Linked DNA regions of Arabidopsis thaliana. The protein of the gene in region 3 interacts with the protein of the main gene of each other region in a pairwise test. Each region holds a gene or a part of one and is shown on either strand. Other genes may lie near its edges.

What was found.
Region 1: the proteins of HB23 (region 3) and BHLH92 interact in a two-hybrid assay, tested with the Arabidopsis thaliana proteins (one large-scale study listed by BioGRID).
Region 2: the proteins of HB23 (region 3) and SPL13B interact in a two-hybrid assay, tested with the Arabidopsis thaliana proteins (one large-scale study listed by BioGRID).

What each region holds. Positions count from the first base shown.
Region 1 is NC_003076.8:17,528,224-17,538,490, reverse strand, and holds BHLH92 (basic helix-loop-helix (bHLH) DNA-binding superfamily protein), read left to right. Parts: upstream 1-3,694; 5' UTR 3,695-3,732; coding exon 3,733-4,083; intron 4,084-4,581; coding exon 4,582-4,872; coding exon of another isoform or gene 4,873-4,884; exon of another isoform or gene 4,885-5,079; coding exon 5,080-5,181; 3' UTR 5,182-5,361; downstream 5,362-10,267. Other genes in the region: AT5G43660 (2-oxoglutarate (2OG) and Fe(II)-dependent oxygenase superfamily protein), read left to right, coding at 176-476, 802-849, 925-1,101, 1,174-1,324, 1,405-1,491, 1,577-1,701, 1,788-1,909, 1,986-2,154; AT5G43640 (Ribosomal protein S19 family protein), read right to left, coding at 6,121-6,369, 6,906-6,963, 7,047-7,189; TZP (zinc knuckle (CCHC-type) family protein), read right to left, coding at 8,284-8,406, 8,504-8,622, 8,706-8,821, 8,902-10,267.
Region 2 is NC_003076.8:20,611,641-20,622,646, forward strand, and holds SPL13B (Squamosa promoter-binding protein-like (SBP domain) transcription factor family protein), read right to left. Parts: upstream 6,424-11,006; 5' UTR 6,068-6,423; intron 5,899-6,067; exon of another isoform or gene 5,524-5,898; 5' UTR 5,494-5,523; coding exon 5,054-5,493; intron 4,983-5,053; coding exon 4,849-4,982; intron 4,763-4,848; coding exon 4,257-4,762; 3' UTR 4,064-4,256; downstream 1-4,063. Other genes in the region: AT5G50650 (Transducin/WD40 repeat-like superfamily protein), read left to right, coding at 1-52, 168-235, 330-421; AT5G50660 (transmembrane protein, putative (DUF 3339)), read left to right, coding at 935-1,138; AT5G50665 (uncharacterized protein), read left to right, coding at 2,045-2,195, 2,558-2,660, 2,923-3,029, 3,473-3,528; SAE1B (SUMO activating enzyme 1B), read left to right, coding at 7,202-7,284, 7,479-7,530, 7,625-7,820, 7,905-7,984, 8,082-8,198, 8,303-8,353, 8,446-8,512, 8,595-8,698 and 2 more; HSD7 (hydroxysteroid dehydrogenase 7), read left to right, coding at 9,690-9,872, 9,976-10,168, 10,250-10,335, 10,406-10,537, 10,627-10,755, 10,822-10,998. UniProt on the Arabidopsis thaliana protein: Trans-acting factor that binds specifically to the consensus nucleotide sequence 5'-TNCGTACAA-3'.
Region 3 is NC_003076.8:15,906,271-15,916,561, reverse strand, and holds HB23 (homeobox protein 23), read right to left. Parts: upstream 5,213-10,291; 5' UTR 5,020-5,212; coding exon 4,015-5,019; 3' UTR 3,702-4,014; downstream 1-3,701. Other genes in the region: AGL81 (AGAMOUS-like 81), read right to left, coding at 8,620-9,687. UniProt on the Arabidopsis thaliana protein: Putative transcription factor. Probably involved in establishing polarity during leaf development through the gibberellic acid (GA) signaling pathway.

The DNA.
Region 1 (10,267 bases), 1.6 Mb from region 3:
GTTATAATGGGCCGATAATCCACAACGCCATATCGCGTGTTCGAAAACGCGCCGATAACAGAAAAAGCCAATAAATTCTCGGTGGGAAATAAATTGGTGAAATTTAACGGAAACCCCAAATTCCAGAATCCCCAAATCGAGAGGTTAAAGAAACTTCGATTTTGATCTTTCGAAGTGATCGGCAAGAGGTGACGGTGGACGGTGACAGAACTGTCGGAGGTAGAGATCATCAACCACCGGTGACTACTACTGCAGCGGCGACAACAAAGATGGCTATCCCGAGGCTGAGTCTTCTTCCTAACAACGAGCACAATTCTGATAACTACGAAGATCTGGAACTTGAATTTAGCTCTTCCGTATTAAGATCCCTAGAGAGGTACTTACCGCCGGAAATACTCACGGCGAATAGAGAAGAGAAGGCCAAATTCATGTCAGACATTTTGCACAAGTACATTTCCCGCGAAGAATGTGCCAAAGTAATTGCTCTTTCTTTTTGATCTCAATCTCTAAAATTGAAATCGGTAATAAGAAATTACGATAGTGATCTTTAGGTTTATCTTGTGATGATGAACAATTAGAGAGATCGATGTGAACAGAAGTTTCTGATGATTTATTCACAAAAGCTATTACATGATTATATAGCTACAGGAGCGTATCTAGTTTCCTAAAGAGATACAATTAGAATCAATTACGTTTAATGTACATTATGATGATTGATATGAGATCATATCTCATTAGATGAACACATAGAATCAATCCCACAATTTCTCAGAATAGTTTCATGTCTGTTTAATGTTCCAGGCTATACGGTTCAAGAACTATAGGGAGTGGATAATGTCCAATTATCAGGTGAGGAGACTTTAGCTCGTCACTTAGATTGTTTTCTTGATGCAAATAGTTTTGAAATGTTTCCTTTTTCTGCAGCCACGTTTCAGGGAGTTGTATAAACTTGATCCCGAATCGTTATTGCTTCCGTGTTTCCGCAAGGCGGTCAGAGAAAACACCGAGGAAAGCTTCAGACGTATAATGTTTGAACCGTTTCCTGGTGTTTACGTCTTTAAAATGTTTCAGCCTGACTTCTTTCAGAAATTGCTTGTTGAGGTAATAGTAACAAACACATCATCTTGCCACTTATTCTCTGCCCTGCTCTTACCTCTTTGTTTGATTAATCAGGTAGAGAATATGAGAAAGTGGCTTCATGAGGCAAAATTGATGATCAGGAAACCAAACAATAAGAGTAAATATGGTGTTGTGCTTGACGACTTTGGCATGGATATCATGCTTAAGCCACTCGTGGAGGATTTTATCTTTCCTATTTGCAAAGGCAAGGCGTATATATTACTTAAAAATGCATTAGAAAGACTTTTAAAAAGTAACATTAAACTTCACTATGTTGTTTTGCAGTATTCTTCCCTCAAGTGTGTGGAACAATGTTTGACACTCAACATGGATTCGTTATTGAAAATTGTGAAGATAGGGATGCTGAATTAGGTGAGTCCCTTTTGATTTTCTGATATTACTTGAGAAAACCAGAGTGAATTCTTTAATCTGGTGCAGTGATCTTTTAAATCTGCAGGCTTTCATGTGGAAAATTCAGACATTACATTGAATGTTTGTTTGAGTAAACAAAGTGAGGGAGGGGAAATATTATTCACAGGCACACGATGCAATAAACATTTGAAAGCAGGTCCAAAGCCAGAGGTATGTGAGTCCTCTTACGTTCCTATATTCAGTAAATGGCAAAATGGTTAGCTAATAAAGGAACCAATTATTTCTCACTGAAACAGGAAATTTTTGAGTACTGTCATGAACCGGGTCAAGCTATACTTCACCTTGGCTGCCACAGCCATGGTGCAAAAGCCGCCATAACATCTTGTAGTCGGGCCAATATGATTCTTTGGTGCATAAAGTAAGCAATCATGAAGCTTGCCTCAGGATTTCAGATCACAACTAAAACACCTTTTCTTCTGCATTTCCATTTGCAGCTCTTTGTTCAGAGAGATGCAAACTTATGACAACGAATTCCGAGACTGGTGCGGTCAATGCGCCCGTGAAAAGAAAGAAAAGAAAAGCCAGAGTCTTGCTTCCAAAAGAAAGGTTAAGAAAAGAAAAAAGGACATGATTTTGCTCAAGTTTATAAGATGTTTTGTTTGAGCATGGTTATGAACCTGTGGGGGTCCTTATTGCAGGAGATGATTAGGATAATAGAGTGAAGCCGAAGCCCGCTGAAAAAAATGAAGTCTATGCTTTGAATTTTGACTCTTTACTTGGAAAATAACACTGAGTATATGTAGAATCATTTGATGTAAATAGGTCTTTGTGTCTTCGAATTTCTTACATTACTACTATGTACATGAAAGTTACCAGTTACATGTTTAGGATCGGCTATATGTTTACAGTTTACTCGCCGTATCGAAGCAGTGTTCAGTGTCAGCTGAAAAAGAGTACATATAGCCGGTCCATTCGGTTAGACTCATGAAAACCGGTTTAGTAATCATATGTTTACAGTGTCAGCTTTTTTTTTGAAATGTATGATTTGGTTAACCGGTTTTAAAATTGTGAACCAATTCAATTGTGCAATTCCGAACACTAGCGATTCGAAGTAGAGAAAGTAACATTGTACCAAGCTAAACCAACGGCGATGAATGCTAGAACCGCGATGTGATGTGTGATTAAAGAGAAGGTTAGGAGGAAGTAGAGGATGATAAATTGATTCGGAAATGTGTGAGGTTTTGTGTGACGCGTGTGGTGGCGTCGGCGATGGACTAGCGGCGCTGGTGATTGGTTGTGCGGTTTCTTTAACGCCGGAGATTACTTGATTCGCCACCATTGTTGCTCTGGATTCTAGAAACTTCTGAAAATCCTAAATTCGTTGGGAAAAGAGGAGAAAGTCAAACTGATTCATGAGAAGTTAAGAAAGCCCAAGCCCATTAAATTGAGTATCACTTAATTCGTTATTTATACTAAAAAAGATCGTTTTCTAGAATCGAAGTTGGTAGTGTAAAAGAAAAAGAAGTTGAAGAAGCAAGAATTTTCCATCGAAGTGGTCAATTATCCGAGTGTAGTAAAGATAAAATCTCTTATCAGAAAATAAAATAATCGAAGTTGGTCAATATTTTTAGTCAAGTCATTCACACGAGGAAATTTCCCACCCAAGAGTTAGGATACGTGGAAAGAAAATCTCAATGACTAATGTGTTACAATAATTAGACGAAGAATAAACTAATGCCACACACACACACGCACAAATTCCACTTGTGATGACTGATGAACTTAATTATTATTATTAAACCCTAAGGTTTGATAAAACGGTATAGGGCCGGCTCTTTTCTTTTCTCCACGGTGTTGTGTTTTTTGAACTCACAAAGGAGATTTTGTACTTTAACTTCAAAAAGAAAATTGGTTAATTTGAAAACAAACAAACAAATAGTTATAGCTTTTACGCGTCACGTAATGTCTAAATTTTGTTGCCAAGACACGTCACTTGACTTTCTCTAGAGTTCACCTTTGATACATCATTTGACTGTCTCTGGTTTTCTCCTATATACGTCACTTCATCTAACCAAGAAGCTGAGAAAACTATTCATTGACCACGTTCTCAATATGTTTCACGTGTGTTAAATCAACAAAACCACACGTGATTAAATCATAATAGGTATATAGACACACCACACAAAAGACAACATCAAAAATCACACAAATCAAGATTGTCAAACACACTAAGAGAGAAAGATGGATAACTTTTTTCTAGGTTTGAGTTGTCAAGAAGAAAACAACTTCTGGGATCTAATCGTGGCCGACATCTCGGGTGATAGAAGCGTCAGTGTACCTATCAGAAGCGCCTTTAGGTCATATATGAAGGACACGGAACTGAGGATGATGTCGCCGAAGATATCTTCTTCGAAGGTGAACGTGAAGAAGAGAATGGTCAATCTTCTGAGAAAGAATTGGGAGGAGAAGAAAAATACGGTGGCTCCAGAGAAGGAAAGAAGCCGGCGACATATGTTGAAAGAAAGGACGAGAAGAGAGAAACAAAAACAGAGTTACTTAGCTCTCCATTCTCTACTACCATTTGCCACTAAGGTACCTTGATTATTTGTGTAATATTAAACTTGAAACGAACTTTATTTTTCTTAATGACTTGGAAAGAAAATCATAGTAGTTCTAACAAAAATCCGAATTTTTACAGTTCAAAATGGCACACAAAATTAGATATTCGGTAGAAATGGATTAGATTCATGGATACTAAATTTTCAGAATTTCGACTACTATGTCTGTTCACTGATCTTTGATGTTTGTATGCTTAATTACATGCATTGATCTGGTTTTAGAAGCTTATCTTAAATATCTATAAATTTATATTGAGTAAGGTATAATATAAAGTTTTGAGTATGATAAATTTCCAACTACAATCATTTGTATAAAATGTTTGTAAGTTTTTGCACTGGAATCTTTTCTTTTATCACTATTTTCTTTTACTTAAGGATTTTGATATAGAAACAAGTTTAAAGAACATCATAGATTGATATCGAAACAAGTTTCAAGACCATCATTTCTCCTTATATTCTCATTTTATTTCAGAATGACAAAAATTCGATTGTCGAAAAAGCCGTGGATGAGATTGCGAAATTACAAAGATTAAAGAAAGAACTAGTGAGAAGAATTAAAGTGATTGAGGAAAAATCAGCAAAGGATGGTCATGATGAAATGAGTGAAACAAAGGTTAGGGTTAATCTAAAAGAACCTTTGTCTGGACTAGATTCAATGCTTGAAGCGCTTCATTATCTTAAATCAATGGGAACAAAACTGAAAACAGTCCATGCCAATTTCTCTCCTCAAGAGTTTTCTGCGACCATGACCATCGAGACTCAGGTACATATTTAATTCGATTCGAATTGGTTGAATCCGGTTTTGGTTTCTCTTTGGTTATGACAACTTGACAAGTACATAAAGGTAATAATAGGTAGGTTGTTTTGTGTTAGTAGCAAAAAAAAAGTAGATGGTTGTATGTTTTTTTAATTAAGTAGTTAGATCTGTATTAGTGTGATGATATTAAATTTAAAGTTAACTTTTTGGCAGATTAGAGGAGAGGAGGTTGAAAAGAGAGTGGAAAGAAGACTCCAGGAAACTGAATGGAAACTTCTCTTTCTCCCAGAAGCTTCCTTTTACAAAGACTACTAATTCTGTTGACTTTCTGTCATTAATTTTCTTTTGTATTTAAATTTGTATATAGTTAAATACTTAAATTAACTGGTCATTGCTTTATTGACACACATAAAGAAAAATAATGGGGCACACTACTTTTGAGTTTTGAGTTTTGAGGTTTGAAAAATAAAACTAAGAAAATAATATTGATAGAATATAATAGAAAATTTATCAAGTATATAACCATATATAGTGCCAAAATTTGCAAATTGTGTGATAGATAATTTGGTAAATATGTAATGCATTTTATCAATAAAAAATACCATAAAATTTGATTAAAACCAGCATAAAAACCTATCCCAATTAAAGTTTATTTTGAAAAATAGAAATTGGAAAGTTCAATACTTTGGCTATTATTATTTATTATTCAATACTATTTACTACGTACACTCTATAGTAAGAGTTTTTAAACATACAATGTTATTCTTCAACTTAATACGTTGCTGGAACAAGTAAACAACTCAAAACATTAAATAACTAGGAACATAGGGATTAATATATTTGTGCGTTACAATCTTAATAATTGTGAACTAGTACTATCTTATTAGCAAATACACTTGTTCACCATGTGGTTCATTATTTAATTACTTATGAAATCGCCAAAAAAGACCATAGATTTGTCATAGGAAATACAAAAATGGATAATAAACTTTCACCTACCGAGTCAAAACAAGAAGGAACTAAACAAGAAAACAGCTCCTTCAACCAAAACTTTTTGCATATTTATCAAATATTTGAAAACTTTAAATTTGGTAAAATGAATGAGGAGCAAAATAAGATAATTTAACACAGTACTCAAATCTAAACCCTCCTGGTGGAGTTAAACAGAAAGTCATCAAAATAATTATCGAAATTAAGACTTAAAAATGAGATCAAAGTCATCTAAGAAGATAGATATGGAGATAAGTAGCTTCTTCACTTGAGAGGGATAAACCTGGAGGAATTGGTAGCACCAACACCAGGCCTACCGTGCTTTACCGGTTTGTATGAGATTGAGAACTCAGCCAAGTAATGTCCAATCATCTCCGGCTTGATCTCGACTTGGTTAAAAGTCTTTCCGTTGTACACACCAATGATGCTTCCAATCATTTCAGGCACAATGATCATGTTCCTCAAGTGTGTTCTCACTGATGCTGGCTTCTCACCAGCTGGTGCCTCCATTTTCTGCTCAAAGACACAAAAATCATTGACTCTTTAGTATTTTAAAACCATTTGGTTGCAGAGAAACAGCACATTATTCTATATATGGATACATAATAAGGACAATAGCACAAAAGTGGGGTATAGATTATCTGAGTTATAAAAAAAATGACATTATGTATAGTCGCACTCAAGACATTCTAAGACATAATCTTTATTGTTTAAAGCCATTTGGTCACAAAAATCGAACGCAAAGTTGCATAGGGAAGAATGCATATTTGCATAGAGAATGAAATACCAAAGTAACATTATCGAAAACCGGGTATAGATTATCTGAATTAGTCACACAAGACTAATGCATAGAATATAAAAACATGCTGATAATCTTTTAACTAAGAGGGATAACACGATTCTATTAGCCATAAAATAAACCATCAAAATCGCTCAACTTAATGAGACATATAAACATACAAGATACACAATTCCTAGATTTGGACAATTGAATATGTTGTTCAACAAACGTAACATTTAATTAGTGATGTGAGAAATTTTGATTTTACCGCTTTGCGCAATTTCTTAATCAAAGCCATAGGTTTTCTGGTCAATCCTCTAGAAAACCTTTAAAGACAACAAAACACATCATCAGTCTCACAAAACCAATTAGACAAAAGCTTTTGTTTGGTTCAAAGAAAGAAGGTAACCTTCTGCGAATACGGGAACTGAAATGTTTGACAAGATCTTCGATGGACATGTCGAGAAGCGCATCGAGATCGACTCCTCTGAAAGAAAACTTTTTGAAGGTTCTCTTTTTCACAATTCCAGCCGCAACAACCTCTGGTTCCATATCCACAAAGATTGGAACTGACCATTGTTGGATCGATGAAACCCTAAAAAATCCACAAAGCCTCAAAATAAAACAATGTATGCGCAAAAGACAAACAACTTAACTTAAGCACCAAATAAATAGGTAGCGCATCCTGTAACCCTAAAAATATTTTCTTTATGTTCTCTTTATTTTTTAATATATTTGGGCCCATATATTTGGAAAATAAGGCCAAGAGAAAATAAACATATTAAATAAAAAAAATAGCTAGATAACCCAACAATGTATCATTTTCCAGAATTTATTAAGTCTAATTCTCAAAAGTTTGAAGGTCGATTTGATGAATTTTTAATTACTGCAAAGTTCAGGCTAATACAACTATGAACTATCCAAGCAAATAATTAAGTGGTAGTGAATAGTGATCTAGTGTACTTATCTAGCTCTACAAAATATTCATGATTTTTGATAAATTATGATCGGTATTTCAATAGGCTTACCTCATCTACTTTACTTCATGTCAAGGCAACACTGACAAGCATTACAAGACAAACTCCTATAGCACCAAACCATCATACTTTGTCTCAGCTTGCACTAAAATTTCTAAAGCGATTGCTCATGTGAGTGAACCAATTTTCAATTTGGTGACACTTTAAAAACAATATTGTGCAAGCTGTATGCCAAACAACAATGACCATTGCACACTAAATCCAAAATATGTTTTGATATAAAACACCAAACATAAATATGATGTCAAAACAGATTAGTTCATTTAGGACAAATATCAACTTCTATCAAACATACCTCATGAAAAATGAGCAAGACACCACAATATCTCTCTTGATATCAATGTACTTTGTTCTTCCATGATACTTTGATCCTTCACACATAGACTATACAAGCTTAACAATCACAATAAATAGTCATCGAGACATAAAGATCCGAATAAAACTCGCAAATCTAAATAGATTGGACATCCAGTTTTAGATTGTTGTATGGTTTGAGACATTCGATGCCCTCTGAACTAAGAAATTTACACTCTCCTTTTCAACCGAAAAAATACACGGGTAATCGTAAAACCTATAACTTAAAAACATTTATCTACTTGAACAAATGTCCTAAAAGCCTAACATTTTTCTCTGCTGAATTTTCCGACTAAGTTCCTCCGCCGACGGGATGCCGTCGTAGCCGCTTGTTCTGGCACTTTTCCCCGCGCTCTGCCACCAGGCCTTTAACTCCTCCTGCTCAGATAAATTAATGCAAAATATTCAGATGAAAACTTAGCAAATTAGCAAATTTCAAAACTTTTGACATAATTGGTCAAATTTTATTATATACCTCAAGAAAGTCTTGGTTTGAGATAAACTGAGACTCAACAAGGCAAGTCACACCTTTAACCTTAACTGAAATTAAGCTTTTCTCTGAATGTCTCCTTGAGCTTTGTCCCTCTGTGTCCCCTGGTTAAAACAAACATATTTCAGTTGCAAATATTCGAGAAATACGCGAGTTTGAGTATTGATTTATATGAAAGTGTACCAACCATCTATGCGAGCTACATAATACCCTGTTCCTCCAAGCCCTTCTTCCCATTTCCCGAGCCTTAACCGCAAGAAGAACCCTTCGAGACCCGATACAGACTTCTTGGTGTTTATCCATCTGAAATGAAATGTCAAAAGATGTTAAAGCCTCATAATGTGACAAGGGAAACAGTCTTTTAGGTGTGAATTAGATCTTACTTGAGAACGTCTGTGCGGCTCAGGCGAAGCACTTGAACAGCATCAAAGACCGCCCTTGGTACGTCTGTGAAACCACTTATGGGCAGCTTCATGCCAGAGGTAGAAGCTAAAGCGTTCTTCATAGCTCTACCTTCAGCTCCTGAACCATACAGGGGAGCATTCGGGCATGTTGCAGCCCAGTGACTAAGCTGAAAACATCTAATGCATAGACTTGACGCTTCTTCTCTTCCATTCCGCACACTTATGTTCTGTACTAGATCTCTGAGCTCAGTATCAGTTACTTCCAAACAATCCCGTAAACAATGACCCTTTTTACCGCAGTAGAAACAAATTAGATCCCTCTGTTCCTCCTCTGCATTCTCAGCTAAAGAACCTGAGGGCATGATGCTTTTCATTGCTTCTAATCTTCTAGCAAACAAAGAAGCCATTGCTTCTGAAGACTCTATTCTCATTGACGAAACTATAGGAAGGACAGTGTCCGGTTTATCGGGCCCATCTACCGAGCTGATACTGGGTCTTATAACATTCTTGTCTGCCAGCATTTTCCGTGAATCACGGGTTTTAGCTGCGTCTGAGGCTGAAGCATTGGCCTCTTTAGCCGTTTCACTTGCCTTTTTCTGAGGGAACGAACCTTTAGAAGAAAACCGACTAATCCACAAACTTTTAAGACCAGAGTTTCTGTTGGTTAAACATGGACTAACCTTTCCATCAGCTTCACCGCATGTTTTTGGCTCTTCATTTGGCTTAGACTTACTAAGAGACATCAACGAGATGTTTGGCTCTTTGTCCTCACGTTTGTTCTCTGAAGACTGTGTTTTGCTTGTCTGATTAAATACAACTTTTCCTGATGAAATGTTGGGTTCAGCCACTGGACCAATCTCATTACCAGATGAAGACAAGTCATCCCCTTTGGAAATGTCGCAATGTTCAGGAATCCAGGGAAGTTCCTGCAAAGGAGCAGCATTAACATCATTCGGGAAATCCATGTCGACGACATCTTGACTTTGTTTCTTCGGACAATATATAGACTGGAAAAAAGACTGGAAACCGGTGTTTCTGCATCCACTATTTTCCTTCACACAGCATGGACTCAATTGTTGTTGGTCAACGATGGCATTGACTTGGCCATGACCATTAGCATTTGAGGTGGTGGTAAGAGCTACAAAAGGAGAATTGTCTTCTTCATTACCTTTCCAGATTCCTTTAGTCATATTTGATATCCAATTCATGAAGGAACTATCTTGCTTGAGCTTTGAAGTTGACCCCAAACATTCTTGATTTAACGTTTTGAGCCGTTTGCTTCCAAAAATCAGCTGCTCCTCAAAGCCTGGTCTTTTCTTTCCCCTTGAGAGCAAACCCGCACTAT
Region 2 (11,006 bases), 4.7 Mb from region 3:
AGAAAGCTCATCTCGGTTTGGTCACCGCACTGACTTTCTCCCCTGATTCAAGGTTTTTTCTCTACTCCTTTACCGATTCAATGATGCCAAACAAACAAACAGATACGAATCTGAAGGAAGAAAAGATGAAACCATTCAAAAGTGTTACTTTGGGTTTGGTTTTGCAGGTGCTTAGTGTCAGTATCTTTTGACTCAAGGGCAAGGCTAACCGTGATCAAACAAAAGGGTGAAAAACGTATGTACATTTACGGTTTCTCCTATTATCTTTCCATTTCAAGAACAGGGTCTCCATAACCTAATACTCTGGTTTTTCTACGATGAAATTGCAGGTCGAGTATATCTGTGGGTGGCGGCATTGTTGTTTGTGTTGGTATACGTGGTTTTGTATTATTTGATGGTGGCAATGGGGATCATACATTAGACATACGTAAAGAAAGCCTCTAAGTAAATCCACACGACAATACATGGAATGGCTTGAAGAAACCAACATACAGATTTATACCCTCGTTAAGTTTTCTTAGACTTTGTGTTTTGAGTAGGTCGTAGAGATTCTTCACAGAAACTTTCATGCTTTTATTAGTTTACATCATATATTCATATTCTCGTTTCTATCTTTTAGTATTACCACAATGAAAGTTTGAACTTCTTTTAGTCAACGAGACCCAATGATTAAGACATTAAGTGATTAGAAAATGAGAGAGACCACCCAACCATCGTCTAACGAATCTCTCGGGACATTGACCAAAGACATCAACCACAGTTTGACCACGACACTTCTGACGTGTAACACCATGTATTAAGCCATTTCACCAACCATATCACAAGGGTTTCAATATCATCAACGCAAGTAATATAACTTAACTATCTCTCCTCTCTTTTCTTAAGATAACTTCTCTCTCTCTATTCGTTGGTATAAAAAAAGAAGACTAGGAAAATGACGGAGTGGCTTCCGGTGGTGGTCGCGACGGTGTTGTTTGTGGTGCTGAGCCCGGGATTGTTGTTTCAGGTTCCGGGAAACAACAACTTTGTAGACTTCGGGAAGATGGAAACGAGCGGATACTCAATCCTTCTCCACGCCTTCCTTTACTTTGGCCTTGTCACTGTCTTCACCGTCGTCATCCACTTTCCGGGCACTTAATTCTATGTAATCTTTACTTACAAAAACTTTTTCTTCCTATCTATGCTTTTACCTTTTCTATATTATCAGTTATACCATGTTTCCCGTGTTCACCTAATTATTATGCTAATGTTTTGTTACTTTTACGTTATAATGATATCAAACTTGCGATGCGTAAGAAACTTGTTTCGAATTAGTAATGACAAAATGGATAGTTGACTAGTTATACATTTTTGTTACGTTATTAGTATGTTGGAGTATATTAATGTTACAAATGTTATAAAAAGTTTAACCAAAATAGACATCCCAACAAACATAGACAACTATATAATGAATAGCTCGAAACATCTCCGCAGCCATTTCATTTTCATTAACATATGTTTTAGCCAAAAGGATAAGAGTGGTTCTCCTAAGATTCTATAGTTGCAATAAGATGTGTACATAAATAGTTATCTACTCTCTAAACTGTTAACTTGTTGCTAATTGGGTACTACAAGACCAACAGAACCTACACATCAACTAATCAAATGTCAATAAAAACCCACAATTCAACATTTACACTACAAGAAATATGGATATTGATAGCACATTTTAATAGCTCAATTTTTGTAACTGCTATTAAAAATAAAATGTTGGATAAAGACACTATATAATAGCAGTTACGAAATGCTAAACGCTAACATGACTAACCGGACAAATAAAGTTTAATTGAAAAACCTAAAATTATTATAAGCACCAACATTTACCCAAAAATATTACACTTAGCCACCAAATTATTAAAGATACGGCTTTGTGTTTTCTTTTTTCAATGAAGAACAAAATATTTTGTCTCATTCTCTCACAAAAGAAAAACCTAAATCCCTCCGTTCCTCCATCTCCAAATAGACAGCAAAATAAAAAATCCAGAATTTCCTCTTGTCTTCGTCGATGACCAGCGCAAACTTTGAGGATCCCCCTTCTTCTCATCGTCCTCTCCAAAGATGTTCTTACCCAAGCTTTTGTTCTGACATCTCCAAGGTTTCATCATGGTCAGAACTCAACCTACATATATCTACAAAACCAAATCGAGACCTCCACAGTAATACCGTCTATTCAAAACCCTAGATCTACATATTTTGTCTCTCCCTAAAGTTGCAATCGCCAGTCTGAGGTTCCATTACTCCTAATTGTTTTTGCTTCACATCTCATTCAACGCCTAACCTATTACATTCTCGTTTATTTGGGAAAATTAGATTCGAAATTGAAATCGATTCCAAATTAGGATTTGAGATCCGGAGAAACCGCTTAGTCTGCTAACGACACTTCTTTTTTTTTTTGTATTGCGGTCATAGCCAATCCTATCGATGTTGTTAAGTTTCAAAAGTAGACAAATTTACACACTTATCTATAAAATCGTTTTGTGTATATTTGGTTGAGCTTCTTGTGTATGTTTTGTTATAGGCAGACGAGATTACGCAGAAGAACATGTTGCAGGAATTATGTATCAAGGCTCGTGTTGTCTGTTTATTTTAAATATAATATCCAAGAGATATTTGCAGCCATGGTAATTCATCATATATGCCTCTCAATCTCCATCTATCTTTAACCATGAAGTTTCCGTTTACAAGCTTGATTTTCTAGAATTCAAATGTGGTATTTGTAACTTTCATTAGGTTATTAGTTTGAATGACAAACGTCTTTTCTATAGTTTTGAGGTTTTCAATCTGGTTTTCTCATTGTTGTTGTAAGGTTTTCTCATTCTTATTTGGTAATAGTTTGTTTATACTAGGACAAGAGAACTGATTTGAAATTTTTCTTTGTTCCAGGGGATATAAGGGAAACATGGAACTCAACAAGGAAGATATCGTGCCATTGACACCAGCAGCTCAAATCACAGCACCTCCAATCCTACAAGATGGCTCATCTCAACAAGGTAATTTATTAGCATTTTAAGTAACTGTTACAATATTTCAGTTTTTTCAGGTACAGTTTGTTGTCTTTTTTCTCTCATATTAAAGTTGCATAGGAGGGTTTTAGTGCTCAATGCATCTAGAACAGAACTCAATGATTTGGTCTATAGAGTCCATATTCTGTTTCGTTTTCTAAATTATTAAATAAGTGCTTTGGCTTTTCTTTGATTCTGTAATCCTTAACTCTAGTAATTCACGAGAATCATTGACATATGAGAGTTTTTCACTTGCTCCACATGTTCTTTGTTTTCTTTTTATGGTTAAAATACTAAATTTTGCTTAGATATTTTTGCAGATTTTATAAGTCTTGTAACTTCAGAACCTAATAACGTTTGTAACAAAAAGGACAAAATTAATGGATGATTGCCATTAACATTTTGATTTCGGTTTATTTGTTTTCTTACAGCTGAGGATGCGTTTGGATTAGCAGTTTGGTTAGGAAGAGGTTTATCAAGTGTTTAAGCTCAGAGAAGAGATAGTGATGTTAATTCTAAGTTTCATGTAAGATCTGCTCAAGTACTCATTTTTACACTATTCGAGTTTGAAGTTTGATTGGAGAGAAGAAGAAGACTGTACAAGATTATGAGAAGAATTGGAGAAGCGAGTCAAGGTTAGAAAGAAGATGTGATATCATTTTACTTGTGGCATTTGTTATTGTAATGTTAGTTAAGACTTGGATTGAGACTTGTATGGAGATTTTATATATATTGAATTTGATCAAAAAGAGGTTTCTTGCAAATGTGTAACAAAATGTCCCAAACTTATAGGCTGTTTATAGATTTATAGCCAAAAAAATAAAGCTACAACATATCAGATCATAGCCTATAAAATATAGCTACAAAATAATAGTTTATAGCCCTTAAAAAGAGTTACAAAAGTATAACATCAAAATTGTGCAATAACAAAGGAAATCAAAGCATTTCTTTTACGCCATAATATGTGAACATTTAATAGCATAGCAAGAAACGCTATTGTATGTGACCACTCTAAGATAGCTCCGGCAAACACAGCGTTTATGAATCCGCTATGTAAACGTTATTATAGCGTTTTCGGTGTGTTAAGAATGTCCATATTTCTTGTAGTGTTAACAAGAACAATGATGATGATAAAGAACATTGAAAAATGAGGGAGAAGAGAAGAGACACAAATAGATCTTTCTGATTCTATCTATCTACCTACTTCTTCTTCTACTACTCCCAATGAAACGGGAATGTCTGCGGAAGACGGACAGCCTCGTTACCGGATATAACCGATCCATCAGAGACTGCACTCGCATTCTCAAACAATCCCGACCCGTAAAAAACTGTCTCAACTGCTTCTTGGGACAAAGAAAGTGGTGGTTGAAGCAAATGAGGGACTGACGACGAGGAGGATGACAGAAGAGAGAGAGCACAATCAGAGTCATGGATGCAACTCGTCATTCTCTCACACAACGATGCGGTTCTCGAGCTTTCTTCTTCTTGCAAGAAAGGGAATTGTTTTGCTATGCTTCTGGTACTGTTTGGAGAAGAAGAGATTGGAAACATTATCCCTGTCTTTGCAGGAGAAGAACCAACAACATAGCTCTGGCTCTGCCCATAACTCGAACCATTGGCGGCTACAGCAACGCTTACAAGACTATTTCCCCAGCTCGGGTTCAACACAGATGTAGTTGGAAACACATGTGAACCACCAGAAAACTCTAGCAATTTGCTACCTGAAAACATAAAACAATGCTTCTTCATCAACAAGGAACGGTCTATTGGATTCAAGAAACTAACTAACTTTTCTTAAAACAGAAACCTTGAAAACCCGTAAAGAAGTTGGCAGGACGACCGATATGTTCAGGCTGCGGCTTCCGTCGTCTTCGATTATGTCCATCAAGACGTTTCCTACAACTTCTCTTCCCTTCATCAAACTCCTCCAAAGCATGAAACCTAATTAGACACAAATGTTAACATCTTCACCAACCCAACAAGAAGCTTAAACCATTAACACACAATCTTACCTGCTGCATTGTTGACAAAACCTCTGTTTATGACCATTAATAGTAACCACAGGAGTTTTTGAATGAACATCACAAACTTTATGTCTCTTATGATACTCTCTACAATTACTAAAATCAGAATCACATCCATCAACAAGACAAATCGGCATCTGGTTGGTTCCAACACCATTCCCTCTTGTTCTCTTTGAACTCGAGCTTCTTGAACCTTCTGGTTTAGCTAAAGCACTATCTTTCCACTTACTAAGACTAATCACTTGCTCTGTATCACCAAAAACAGAGGAAGAGTTTCCAATGTTTCTTCCAAGTTTTAGATCAAATGAAAAATCCGCTTTTGACTGTGACGACCCACCAAACGAGATCGAACCATCCATTGGTGATAAATCTGGTTCTTGATCGAATCCAGATAAATAACCAGAGCTAAGTTTGAAATTCCAGTCCATTCAAAGATTGTGCTTTTTTTTCTTCTCTCACTATAAAAACACATACATACACAACAGCAATCAAAGCAATATCAAGATTTGTCCTTTTTGATATTGGTACTCTAAATTTAAGAACAAACAGCAAAAACAACTAGTAAACATAAAACCCATGAATCTTTAACTCAATTAAACTTCAACTTCAATACATATGAAGGAAAATAAAAAAGCATAAGCAAAAAGCAAAAACACAATTATAAAGAGTACTCTGAAATTGTAGTTGAAGCTCTAACAAAATGATCTATTTTGATATTGAAAAAAAAACAAAAAAAAAATCCCAAAAAAGGCAAACTAATTGTACTGAAAAAACGAAATGAGAAGTGCAGAAACATAGAAACTAGAACAGATCCCACAAAATGGGAAGAAAGGAAAACAAAAAAAAAAACAAAAAACTTTTTTTCTGTCTACTCAATTCCAAGCAAGAATTAAAAAAATGCAATAAAAATGAAAGATTAAAGTAAGATTATAAACATGTTATTACATTAAAAAAAACTATAGAATAAGAAAAGTTTGTTGTTTGAAGGTTGAGAAATCTTACCAAATCCATACACCTACCAGTAGAGTCAGTAGAAGAAGAAACTCCAAAAGAGAAAGATGAAAATATAAAAAAATGGGACAAGTGAAAAAAAAGAAAGAGAAGATGATGGAGTTTAGCAAGAGAAAGTGGAGACAACAAGTGTGGCTGCTACTTCAATAATGCAAATAAGAGAAAGAGGAAAGAGAGAGAGAAATTGATGATAATAGCTATTACTAAGTTAAGAAATGATTTACTTACTTTAATTGTAACTTTACTTTCCTGATTTAGGGTTTTATTGATATCATTTTTTAAAAACTTTGAGTAAGAAAAAGTGAAGAAAAGAATGGAGGAAAGTGACAGCTGTTGTTGATTGTTCTTTTGCTTACTTTTTCAACTTTTCTTTGTTTATATTTTTCTCTGCCATTCATCAATTCTGAACTCTGAGCATCCGATTTTTATGAATGAACAGAGTATACTTTTGAAAATTTCAAATTACTCATAAATCTTGTATCTTTTTACTGACCCTTATCCAAAATATATTAGTTTTCAAATTGTGATATAAAATAGATGTGGTTTTTTCTTTTTTATAACTATGATGATGATGAAAATGAAACAATAAATTGGAAAGTGATACTAAAGAAAGAGGTATAGGATGCTTAGTTGTTTACGGCAAAAAACATAGCATGTGAATGTTGTGCTTCGCATTACACAACATCTTCTTCTGTTTTTTTTCTTCTCTCTTTCCACCGATACGCGTTATTTTCTTTGACTTTCATAGTTACGGGTCACACAAGTTGTCAATTATCAGGGAGAATCGTATAAAAGTCTTCCATGTCTTTAAAAGTTTTGCAGATGGATTTAAAAGATTTGGGGTCCAAAGCCCATGTTTCATTTGTTTCGGCCCATAAATTGTCCTAAAAAATAACAAATTGGTTATTTATTGAATGCACAGTTGTTTTGAATTTAAAAATTTGTAGTTGACGAACCGGACCAAACCAAAACAAACCATGTAATTTGAATAAATAAAAAGAAAGCAATTTTCCGGTTAACAAAAAATCTCAAACTCAGTGAGTGAGTCACCGAAAACCTCTTGTAGTAGATTCGTGACGGGTTTGATCATCTCTTCGAGGTCGGTTCTAGGGTTTCACTACGAGAATGGACGGAGATGAGCTCACCGAGCAGGAAACTGCTCTTTATGACCGTCAAATTAGGGTATGGGGAGCTGGTGCTCAAAGAAGGTACTTCACATTGAATCTAACTTCTATGGCTTCAAGCAACAACAAGTTATTGATTTTCCGTTTGAGTACTAATAAACTCTTCTTGTTGGGCTATACTCGGTGAAAGTTTATCTCTTTCTGGGTTTTAAGCTAATTTAGCTGTTGAAATTTTGATTAGGGCTTCTCTGAATTTTGTTTTGTGTTTTTGCTTGCAGATTGAGTAAATCTCATGTTTTGGTATCTGGAATTAAGGGCACTGTTGCTGAGGTACCTCTTACTTTATTTTGTGACTCTCTATTAGCTATGTTGCAGTAGAGTGAGTGTTGGCATCTTACTTGGTTTCCTCCATTTGGTGTTGCAGTTTTGTAAGAACATTGTGTTGGCAGGAGTAGGTAGTGTGACTCTGTTGGATGATCGATTGGTTACAACGGAAGTCTTCAACGCAAACTTCTTGATTCTTCCTGATGAAAATGCTTATGTAGGCAAAACCGTAGCTGAGATTTGTTGTGATTCACTTAAGGATTTTAACCCTATGGTTCATGTTTCAATAGAGAAAGGTTACTCCTCCTTTCTTCATTTCTCTCTAATTTTAGTAGAAACAAATGATTTTAGTAACATCGAGTCTATGTCTTCAATTTCAGGTGATTTGTCAACACTTGGTGTTGATTTTTTCGAGAAGTTTGATGTTGTGGTTATCGGCTACAGTTCTCGTGCTACTAAGGTACTGTTGATACCTCCTTCTTTTAGTTGTTCCAGTTGTTTTTGTCTTTTGTTGCCATGTAGATTGATCACTTGAAATAATGTGCTTTGTTATGCAGAAAGCAGTTAATGAAAAGTGTAGGAACCTAGCAAAAGATGTAGCGTTCTATACAGTTGATTGTAGAGGCTCATGTGGCGAAATATTTGTCGACCTTCAGAATTATAAGTACACAAAGGTACTCATCTCGTTTTTTTCTTTTGACGGTTGTATATCACATGCCTTTCTTTTGGCATATAATGTGTTAACTTTCTTTCTCTATTGTCAATTTTGGCTTCATAGAAAAAGCTTGATGAAACAGTGGAATGTGAACTAACATTTCCAAGTTTTGAGGTACAACAAACTTAACTTCTTACTTTCCTGGAACATACTTTCGCATGAAAAGTAATAGAAATTCAATCTATTAACTGGTCTTATTTCTCCAGGAGGCAGTTTCAGTACCGTGGAAACCGATGCCAAGGAGAACAGCAAAGCTCTACTTTGCAATGAGAGGTCTGGCTAACAACAACAGCTAACCTTTTGAAAGCTTGGTTTCTTCCTACGTAACTAATCCGGTTTTGTGATATTCTTGCAGTGATAGAACTATTTGAGGAAACTGAAGGACGTAAACCTGGGGAATGTTCGCTGTCTGATCTCCCAAGAGTTTTGAAACTCAAAAAGGAACTATGTGAAGGAAATGTAAGTTTCTTTAACCTTTATTTGTAAGCTCTACAATAATAACGACAAATAACAAACTTTGTCACTCACTTTGAATCCGAATGTTGCAACAGTCGGTCAGCGAGAATCATATTCCAGATATCCTCTTGGAGAGACTCGTATCTAATAACACAGAATTCCCACCGGCTTGTGCCATCATTGGAGGGATTCTAGGACAGGTACAGTTCTCTATCTCGCTTCTCTAGGACTTTGTTAGTTATCTAGATTAAGCACTTAGCAGAGTAATGTGACTCAAAAAAGTTGTATTTGTACGTACAGGAGGTGATAAAAGTTATATCAGGCAAAGGAGAGCCGTTGAAGAACTTCTTCTACTTTGATGCAGAGGATGGGAAAGGTGTAATCGAGGACCTATCCCACAAGCTTTAACTTCCAAACATGAAAGGTGCTGTGAAACGCTGCTCTTAGTAATTAGTTCCTTGTTGAAGATTGTATTGGAAATTAGACTTTAGAGTACTTAGAACTTGGCTCCTTGTCTTTTGTATCTACTAACTTGGTTCGCTCCTAAAGACAATCTGTAACCCACTATTTACTTTAATCCATCAATTTACACACTCCTATCTATGTGAAGGTGTTCTATTTTGTCCGGAAATTTTCGATTTCGGTTTCTGGCTCTTTGAGTGGCATCTTTATAATATAACAAACAGCAAAATTTGACAGTCTATAGTGAGTTTTGTTATGGTTCATTGCTTAGTGACATTATTTGTTGTTGAGGGAGGTTTCAAACCAATAGAGATGAAAGTGGAAACTTCTCCACAAGTTGAGAAAAATATTTGATAAAAACATAAGTTGGATGAGGACAAACACAAAAGATACCAAATAATGATTTGGAGATTCTCTTATCCTTAATCTTAAATACTAAAGTCTATGACAGTGACATCTGAACAGAAGAAAGCTCAAGAGTATATAAATTGTAGCTTAGCCTCTGGTGAAGCAGAATCACAAAGTCAAGGATATGGATTTAAACAACAAGATCTTTAACATCCTTCTTCCTATTGTCACGGTTTCGTTTCTTTTAGTGTTCATGCCATTTTCAATATTCTTCAAGCTCCTCCAGTTCATAAGGGGATGCAAAGAGTCCGAGAAAGTCAACGGAAAAGTCGTCATCATCACCGGATCTTCCTCAGGAATTGGCGAGGTTAGTTTGTTTGTAATCCTAGAAAAGCTTGGTCTATTTTTTATAAATTGGTTAGTTATTTGGTAAAAAACAAAAGCAATTTGAAGTTGATTTAATGGTGTAGCACCTAGCGTATGAGTATGCTCGTAGAGGAGCATACTTGACTCTAGTAGCTCGGAGAGAGGATCGTCTCCAGGTGGTGGCTGACCGGTGCAGGAAGCTTGGTTCACCAGACGTTGCTGTGGTACGCGGTGATGTCTCAGTCATCAAAGACTGTAAACGTTTTGTTCAAGAAACCATCTCTCGGTTTGGAAGATGTGAGTTAGTCACTATTATTCGAATAACTAATATTACTACTTGCTTAAAGAACATAAAAAATATAACAAAATTTACATCAGTGGATCACTTGGTGAACAATGCTGGAATTGCGGAGGCCAAATTTTTCGAGGACTATTCTGAAATTTCGGATGTTCTTCCCATTGTGGTATACATTTTTAGATTTAATACATAGTGAAGTCTTTTTTACAATATATGAACCTTGGCAAAATTTGCAGAACACTAACTTTTGGGGACCGGTTTACGCGACACATTTCGCTATACCGCATCTCAAGAAAACAAAAGGAAAGATCATAGCGGTTGCATCACCTGCTGGATGGTCTGGAGTACCAAGGATGAGCATATATGCTGTAAATGCTTCTTCTTCTTTTTCTTTCTCTTGTTCTCTAAATTAACCAAGCGTAACATATTAACATAATGAATGTAACATTTGTTTCAGGCAAGCAAAGCAGCTATGATAAACTTCTACGAGACTCTTAGGATCGAGCTTCATCCAGAAGTTGGTGTGACAATCGTGTTTCCTGGTCTAATCGAAAACGGAAATACTAATCCGGACCTTTTAGCTGAGGTATTTTACTATCATCATTTTTCATTTTAGTCTGTCCAAGTTTTATGACTGAAGTCTCTTTTGCAGAAACAAGACTGGTCGCAAGTTGTGACCATCGAGTCAGCAGCGGAATGCGCCAAAGCGGTAGTTAACGGAATCTGCAGAGGCAAAACCTTTGTGGCAGAGCCGTCGTGGGTTCGTGTCCTGTTCTGGCTTAGTGCTATATGCCCTGAGCTTCTGATCTCTAAGCCTAAAAGGAATTAACCAGTTGT
Region 3 (10,291 bases):
GGAATAGTTATCGTTACTAAATGGTGTTGCATTAGCGTAGAATTACCGATAAAATAAAAATGTGTCGCACATACCACGTAAACTTGTTAGGTTTTACATCGTCGTAATTTTGATGCCACAATAAAAACAAATAGTGATGTATATGAGAAAGAATGGTTATTTCCTCGCAAACGACATGCTTTCTTATAGAATTTGTTAGAAACCCTGGAATCTCAATATTTTAATTTGGTTTTTTTTATCAAAGATAAATTTACATATAAATATATGATATTACCAATTCTCATAAATCTTTCAAACTAATTAAATAATTCGTGCTACTTAACATTAATTACCTTAATTATATTCAAAATGGGACATCTATAAAATTACCTTAATATTTTTTAATTCTTCCAAAATCAAAATCAATTTTCAAACGTAGGGAAGCACTTACTATTGATGTGTACCAACACTATTTAATGGACCTAACAAGGAAACTGGGGCTGTTGGGGAAATATCAATATTAAATTTAGAAATATTTAAATCCAAAGACATAACCTATGTTTTGTGCTGAACTTCAATCAGAAACTGGACTATTGTTATATTACTCGTGTCTCTATCCTTCATACTATTTTGAACTCGAATTTAACTATTACAGTAACTTCATTACCAATCTATTCATCTACAAATTAGTGTTTAAATTCTTTCTTTCTCTGGTTTTTTCTTTAGCACAACCAGTTCTATAGTATTATATATATTCTGGTTAATTTATTTATGGTATCTGTAGATAAGTAGACATTGTTTCTCGTTGATGTAGGTTATTCGACCTGTTCTATCCATGAATATTTTTCGGGACAATGCCTAGGACTATGCATTTCAAACTCTAGTTATAGTCTTGAACCCTATTTTTATAGACACATATAGTGTGGACCAATCTACTAATATCTAATATGATCTATTTATCCAATTAAATTATTCAAACAAATCAACTTACCAAGTCTTTAAACAGTGATAAGAATTAAGATTGTAAATTAAATTAAATAAAAATGGAATTAAGATTGCATCCGAAACACTGTAAAAGAATTTAACCAGAAGAAACAGTGAAAAGAAAATGGCGATAAAATGTTTTAGTTGGGTACAATTTTATTGAATTAAGACCTTCTTCTTTTTTTTTGTTAAAAGGTGTTAGAGAATTTCACTTCTTTTTAAGTAATCTCTCAAAATAAATCTTTATTGTCACTCTCTTTAGTTGGTGTCATACTTTATTAATAAAATATTTAAGGATCTCATTATTGTTCAGTGTTGGCTATTGTCAACTAAATTTGGCAAGGAATCTCAAGACAAGAAAGACCGAGAAAATTAACGAAGTTAGGTGCTCAAGAAAGGTAAATCCCAACCTTACTATATACATGATAATATATGTTAGTTGCTCTGCTTTTCAATAATAATAATAAAAACTTATCCATACCTAATTGTAAATGAAATTGGAACATTATATAATCACAGTGGTTACCATCACATTTAAATTTGAAATATAGACATTTATGTCAAAACATGGCGGGCCATTTCTTTCAAGTCTACATATGATCCATCATATACAAGGAACTGTACTTTCTTTGAAAAATTTAAAAACTTATGGTAAAACCTTTTTTTCTATGGCTTCACTAAGATTGGGTGAAATTATTTTTGTCACTGTACCAAATTTCAGCTGAAAAAACAACTGACTATAGTTATGTACTCTTTTTGGGGGCAAATTATAATTATATACTTATGATTCATTTATTATTTGTTTTCTTGCAGTTCACAATGTAACTCAATAAAATATTACTTCTTATTTCAATAAAACAACTGACTATAGTTATGTACTCTTTTTTTTTTTTTTTTTGGGAAGATAGTAAAGTATATATGTCTAATCTATTTTCGACTGAAAAGGTGATAGACTTATTGTCTTTATATTTTAAAGCTAGAAAATATAAATTACCTCCTAAAAATTGCGGATTTATTTTGAACCAAAAAAATTAAGAAATTACCGATCAATTTTGTACCTACAAAATACTGGAATTACCGATAGACTCATTATATTATACATAATACATTCTAACTTTGAGGTTACATATAATTCTCTATTTAATTTCTTGTTTAGTCTCATATTTTTTATTTTCGGTTCTAAATATATGTATTTTTCTTATAAATTAGAAAGAAAAAAAGTTGAAATTATACTATGGCTAATTTTGTTTTATTTGCGATAATGTGAATTGATGGCTAAATTGATACAAAAATAAATAATACTATTAATTAACAAGTGGTGCACATGGTATATGGCAGTTAGGGCCATAACCTCAGCTTGTGCAAAAGTTTTGTCCCCACCAAGATAATACGGAAAGATATTTGTGACTTGACTAAATGCGTTATATAAATTAAATAAAGAAATAGTAGTAATGAATTGCTTAAATAATTGTAACAAACCCGTATGGGAGATACCCATAATATCCTAATCTCATTCTTTATTGTGAGAGCCGACATATCAGTACTCATCCCTACGTTTCCCCAAATGGAAAGTTATTGTTAAATTATTCATCAACTCAATCATTTGTGTTAGTGCCACGCCTTAAACCCTTATTTAGAAGTTGTATAGATTTTATGGATGCTACGATGTGATATAATAATAGTTATATCAAACTTTAGTATGAATTGTACTAATTCAATCTCTAAGTATAAAAAGGTATATGCTGGTTTGTACTTCTCAAATGAGAATAATCAAAACTAAGCATATATACCAAAAATGGGTTATCGGAATGAATCCATGACAATGACATAGATTAAAGAGGAAATGGTGTTAACAATATTTTTAAAACCAACCCAGTGAATCGGACTACCTTTTGGATCATTGGATCATCGGGTTAATTAGATTAGACTACGGGTCAATTGATTAAAATTTATTTAATAAATTTAATATTAATAGAGATTTTAGAGTTTTTAGAGTTCTTATAAATTTTAAAACAAAAATAATCATTTACATCAAAAAAAAATATAAATATATAATCAAACAATAATAATAAAGTGATGAAATTTTTTAAATCCAACTAAATGTCTAATACCGTAACAAATATAGTAAAAAATCAGCAATGATGGAAATAAACTAATAAAACATCGTGAATTCACACAACTAATATCGGATATCTCACTCACCATTCGATTCATTTTTTAAGGCGGCATTGTGAAGTCTTCATCAAAATCTTAAACATCAAATGGGTTTAAGAACTGAAAAATATCTAAAAATTGATTGAATAAAGTCTAAAATCTCATATTTTATTCCAAAATCAAGAGAATTTTTTAAAACCCACATCCGGCCAGTTCAACTGGTTCATCGGGTCACGGGTTAATGATGAGTTTTTGTGGGTTTTTTCGGTTTTGAACTTGTTGGATTTTAATACTAAACCCAAACCGGAAAAGTGTTCGGGTCACGGTTCAACCGGTCGGACCGGACGGTCCGGGTCGGACGTGAAAACACTGGGTGTTAACAACAATGCTACTAATATACTAATGATGGCTAATCATTTGATATAGAATAAAAAAATAAAATAAAATTAAGAGGATCTAAGAAAGAAAAAAAGTACACCTACTACATCTAGTTTGGTTGCAAATAAAATTAAGAAGAGTACTTTAAAAGATAAGAAACCAAATGAATATTTATAGTAACTAATCATGTTTCACTCGTTTATTAATCTTTTTGTTTCTTCATCCGAAACAAGATTACCACATCAAAAGTGTACCATTTATTGGAGTACTTAGTCACATTTCAGGGTTCATTAATAGAAATGTTTACAACAAATGATATAATTCGAACATTGTTATGGTATTATTCCTCATCGAGCGAGACACCGACGTGGTAAAGAACATTAAATCAAAACTAATAATAATGCAAAAACAAACAAAGCTAAAGATCTTAATTAATATTTAATAGAAAGTTATTAACGATGATAATACGAATAAGCTTACTCTAAGCTTCTTATTAACCTGACACTCTCATCTTTAACTTCACGACGACGATGATCCGTTAACGTTACCACCGTTAGCTCCGCCGCTATCACTATCAAATCCTCCGCCACCACCGCCGCTACTAACACTCTGGTGAAGCTCTCCTCCTCCTCCGACACCGTGGTGTCCATTGTTATGGTTATTAATCTCGCCGGCGAGAATCGGAGTGTGGTTTCCTCCGCCGTTATCGATTTGCCGGATCTCGTTTCCGGCGATATCACGGCGGTTAAAGGTGTTTTTGTTGTTATGCATCCAAACTTTGAGAACACTTTTATCAACTCCGATCTGCCGGCAAAAATCACGAACATCGTCTTCGTCACGTTTTTGCATCTTCCAACCAACACGTTCGGCGAATTCATGCATCTTCTCTTTCTGAAACTGGCTGAATTTTGTTCGGAATCTTTTACGAGATCCGTGAAGAGTATGTTGGTGGTGGTGGTGGTGGTTGTTTCCGGCGGAGAAGTTAAGATCGGAGAAAGAAGCTAAGTTGTTGTTGTTGTTATTAGTACCGGAGAGAGATAAGAGCATGTAAGAGGAAGAGATTGGTGGAGGAGAAGCTGAGTTAGGACTACGTGGTGGTGGAGGAGGTGGTGGTGGTGGTGGATGATGACGGTGGTGAGGTTGATACTCTACGGCGGTGGAAGGAGGAGGAGGGATTTGGGAAGAGTCGTTGTTGTTATCTGGATCACGGCGGTGGAAATTACGGTGGCAGCCACAAGCAGCACATTTGAGAGAAGTTGGATCGGAGGAGATTGACGACGGAGACGGCATGAATTCGCCGCAACCGTCGAGAGCGTGACCACCTAAAGCCGCCGCGTGGTTTTTGAGACATTCTTTGTAAGTAAAGAGGAGAGGATGGTGGTGGTGGTGGTGGCGTTTGATGATGCCGTTGCTAAAGGAAATGGGTTTCGCCGGTTGGATCCGGGTCGGAGTTTCGGATTCGGGTTCGGGTGATTTAGGAGTTGGTGTTGTTGTTGTTGTTATTGTAGGAGTCATATCCATCATAGCTTAAAACATTAATATAACCAATAATTTGAAGAAAAAAAAGACTTAGGGTTTTTGGGTTAAGAGCTTTGAAAATATGGTATGAGTTTCAGAGAATGTGAATAGAAAAATGAAGAAGAAGAAGAAATAAAGATAAGTAAAAAGGTTCTAACTTCTTAAGCTGTTGGAGATTTTTTAATATTACATATTTTCCACTTGATTTTTTATTGGTAATATTCGTTTAGAGGAGGAAAAGAAGAAAATGATATGATGACTATGACGACTGTTGCTGAAGCAAATAAAGAAATAATATTTTGAAAAAGGACAATTGTATTAAACTAAATTTATGATTTTAAATGAAATAATAAAGAGACTTGGATTTAGGGATATTTTAATCAAGGGAACCAAGGTTTGATGATTTTTAACCATGGTTAGGTAGATGGAGTTTGTGGGATCGACAAAGAGAGTGCGTGTTAAATTTTGCGGTGAAAAAGCGTAATAAATGTGGCTACTAGTGTCTTAAACATAAAGGCACAAGTCAAAACTGAAAAAGAAAAAATAAGTCTTATGGTAATAATGGGTTACATTTGTTCTAAGATCAGCAATGTTGTGAAAGATACTCCTTCGACTACAACAAAAACGTTAAGGTCAAACCTTTCAAATGAAGGAATGAGAAAGATCACTTTCTTGTAAAAGTTGGGGGTGAATTTTTAGGTTTCCACTATGGTTAAGTTTATATGGGTGATATTCGACGGAAAATGTCAATTTTGCTAGATTTTGATGAACAAGTTGAGAGCAATGATCGAAATTCCGTCCTTCATATACTAGAGATTATTAGAGGATCCAAAACTAGAGATTATTAGAGGATCCAAAACTATTATGAGAAATCCATTAGCCAATGTAACTAGGGTGATAGCTACTAGAGATTCATATAAATTTGTTTTTAAATATCAATGTATTGTAAGGTAATCTTAAGAGTTGTCTCAAAACAAATTTTTTTCTTTTTCTTTATAAAAGGAATTTTGTGCAAAAATAACTTTCAAAGACGTCAATTTTTACAAATTTATCATCTATCTCTAAAAAAATGCAAAATAATTGTATGAAATCAAAAATAATATGCAATATAGCTTCATTTTTTTGTTATAGTTAAATTTTTAAAATTTTGATAAATAATATATCAAATTAAAATCTTCGAGACGAGGAGTCCAACTCTACTTTCACAATTTTAAAAAGCAAATGTATGTGATCATAGAAACATTTACAATATATGTATAGGGCTATATTGCGTCTTATTTTGTATTTTATAGGATTATTATGTATTTTGTAGAGATTAATGGTAAAGTTGAAAAAATTAGCGACTTAATTATGATTTTTTTTTGCACAAACCCCTTATAAAAATATCAATTTTGAATCATTGTATTCTTGTTGACAAGTTAAAGTCTTTTTTCTTTTCTATTAATTGCATCATAATAAAGTTTTTATAAGCGATTTCATTTCAATCTTTCTATTATTTCTACCTAGCTTAATAAGTCCATTTGAGCTTGAATCCTACTAGCTTTGAATTCTCCCACAGAGATGTTCCTTGGCACAACTATCACGGCCCGTTCGTAAAGAATCATCCACGGACAATGTTTTGCTTAAATAATTGCGGCTCCAAAGAATTCTTTTGGGGAGAGTGCTATTCTGTTCTTAATTAATGCAATCCCAAAACATAATGGGTAGAAGGACTTCATGGTCATGTAAAGGAGATTACATGCAAACGATGAAGATATCTTCGACTTTCTTTTTGGTTAGACTTTAGAGGTAGAGAAGCTAATCTTATAGCAGATTTAGTGGTAATGATTGATGACTTAATGGGCTAATGGAATAATACAATTGGCATTAATTTTTATGGGCCGGGTTATTGCACACATGCAACTATAGTGATTTCAGAACAGCCCATCCGAGGACTTGAGTATAAAATAGACAAATTCAAGAAGGAAGTTTGAAGACCCCAAATTACCCCTTTCTAACGTCTCAAAATGATTGGGTTCGAAGCATAAATCATAGTTACACTTGTTTGTAATCATAGGCATATGTAATCACTAATCATCACTTTATTTGATTTAGCAAGTAACTAAGTATAAACTTATTGGTATAAATTATTTTAATGTTAGACAAATGTATTTCCAAATTAGTTTAAAACTATGTTTATTCTATATTTTTAATTCCTTCATTTTTATTTTACAGTGAGAAAGAGAGAGAGGTAAGAAGTAGCTCTATGTGGGCTGCATAAGCATTCTGTGTGTGTTAGTTGTATAAGTAGAACTAAGCACATGTGTTCCGTAGTGAAACACCAGTTATATGTTATAATAAGCTGAATTATCTCCAACTTGTTTATGGTTAGTTGGATAGTATTTAGCAGCACATGCACTTTCTCTTTCCATAGAGGTTTCCAATGTCACTATTGTATCATGATTGATGCAGGAGGTATACACCAAATTGCTTCACTCTATAGTAGCAACATCAAGTAGGTAGCTTATTAGGGTCTTTTAACAAGTACATGAACATAAATGTGAAATGTTGACAGATAAGGACAACGTTGAAGAAGTCAGGAACACTGTGTACCGGTAACTAGTCTTGATCATGCGGTTTACAATGCAGGCTAAGTTCTGATTCCTCCACAGTGCGCTTTGTCTTTGTCTTTTCTCATCATAGGTATGTAACATTCTCTTTTTTCAACACTATTTCAGTGATTCTCTCTTCTCTGTGCGATCATCACATGTTCTTTAAACGGAACAACATAAGCATTACTATTTCAGTAAACATGAAAACAAGTGCTGTTTTTTGGACACTAATAATGTTTGCAAGCTTCACAATTAAATTATATTCAGACTGCTATTTATTGTTTGTCTTGTGATGACTCCTTCACTCTCCTCTTGGCCTTTATCTCCTGATTCTATTAGTAGTGAAGATTATGTGGTTCTTTCCGGTTTAAGGATATGAGAGCTCAATAAAACTTTGAGAGTCTCCTCTGTCCTTTTAGTGTTCAGAAGTTTTGGTAAAAGGTGAAGACTTTTAGAATTGATGAAAAGGAAAAATGTAGAGTCTCTTCCCACTGGTGCTAACTTCAAATATCTGAATTGATCTTAGTGGATGTTCAAAGTTGAAGAGTTTTCCAGATATCTCAAGCAACATCTCATGTCTCTGTCTAAACCAAACAGGGATCGAGGAAGTTCCTTTGTGGATTGAGAACTTTGTTAGGCTCACATACCTAACTATGGTGGAGTGTAAAAAGTTGAAATATGTGTCCCTAAATATGGAGTGATAATATGGACTCTGAAGCTTTAAGTTAGGACACTGTTCTTCTATTATCCTTAATCCTTTTTGTGCTTTTCTTAAAATAAGTGATTTGGTTTGATATTTTCACGAAGCTATATACCAAATAATTGATAACTTTTTGATGCGGTGGAATATATATTCACTTGATAAATTGGACGTTCACATAGTAAAATATAGCTTGATACAAGAAAACATTATGCGTTATGCAATACTTAGCAAAATAAAACATCCACAACAAACATATTAAAATTCTTGAAGATGAAAAAACAGTTTCACACTCTCTTGACATGAGCTTTGTTATCAGAGAAACATCGAGTTGTTGATAAGAAGGTTGTTGTTGGTAATATCACTCGTGAACAGGTTCTGATCATAACCACAAGGAACATGCGGCATCAACCCATAGTTGTTGTTCACAGATTCTTGTACCACAGGAGCAGAGTGATCTTGTGTGTTTGAGACAAAAGAATGTTGAAAGTTGTTGTTGTTCATAAACATGTTCTGATCATAACCACAAAGCTCCTGTTGCATCAAGCCAGATTCGTCTTGTAGTAAGGCTGAGAAATCTTGATTGAGATTTGATGCAGAGAGTGGGATTTGAGAGAGCGTAGCATCTCCATGGTTACTCATGCACATGTTCTGCTCATAACCACAAAGATCCTGCTTCATTATCTGACTCTTCAACTCAGATTGTTCAAGTAACGCTGAGAAATAATCCTGATTGAAATTTGATGCAGAGACTGGGATCTGAGACAGAGTATTGTCTCCATGGTTATACATAAACAGCGAAAACTGGCTAGGGTTCAAAGATTGGGTCTGATGATTCAGAGAGGATGATGCTAAACTCTGATGATCCGGTTTTGTCTCCTTGTGTTTCTGCGACTCAACAAAACGAATCCTTTCTCGGACTTTAGAGACATGAGGTTCTAAGGACTGAATCAGTTGAGAAACTTGGTCGGGAGAGTAATGATCAGCGAGTGGATACTTTAAAATATTCACGTTCTTCAGACAAGTCTTCAAGTCATCATTGTCCGTTATCTTTGCTTTCTTCTCCAAGTTCGTCTTGTCCTTCTTCTTGTTCAGGAAGTCATAAAGAGTAACACTTTTCTTCCTTCTCAAGGCTTCGTTTAATTGACTATACCTGAGAGCGATGTCTTCCACTTTCTCTCGCTCCGGAGGCCATGTCTTGAGTTCTCCGTCTGGTCCGTAATAGATGACGCATGCTTCGATATCACAGAGAGTGCAAAGCTCTGAAGCTTTCTTGAAGATGGTCTCAAGTCTATTGCTTAGACTCGTTGAAGCGAGTGAATAAGAAGAAGAAGAAGAAGAAGAGGAACAGCGAGAGGAAGAAGGTAAAGATCGAATGGCCATCTTCTTGTTGATTATCTCTCTGTTTTTTTGTTTCTAGTAATTGAAAGCACGAAGACGAATGAAATTGAGAGAGTGAAACTACGAATTAGGTTTAGGAAACCCTAAGAAGATGATGAAGAATATGAAAGTGAGTGAGACAACTTTGTGAAATAGAAAATTTGGTCCTTAGGGTTAGAAAAAAATGCGTTTTTATTTTAGTTTTGTCACTCTTCTAATCGGTAAAACAAAAATCTTGTGAAGATTTGATTTCGATATCTTTGCATAGATTTTGTGTAATTTAGCCGTTAAGGATTGATAAAAAGGAAATAGTTAGTTTTTTCCTTTTCTTTCACTCTCTCTTAATTAATAAGAAGATCTACTATAAAAAGGAAAGATTTGCTTGTCCATATAGATTTGCGAGTCAACGCTCCGGTCAAGTTGTTAAAGTAGTTATACTCATTGTTGCTCAAAAACAGAGCATCCCCTGTTTCATTGTTTCTCAGAAACAGAGCATCCCCTGTTCCGTTGTTTCTGGCTGTGTTGTACGGGACTCCGACCATATGAGACGCGAAGTAAGAAGCAGCTGATTCTGTGCAGCTTGAGAGAAAGAATTAGGTTTTATCTT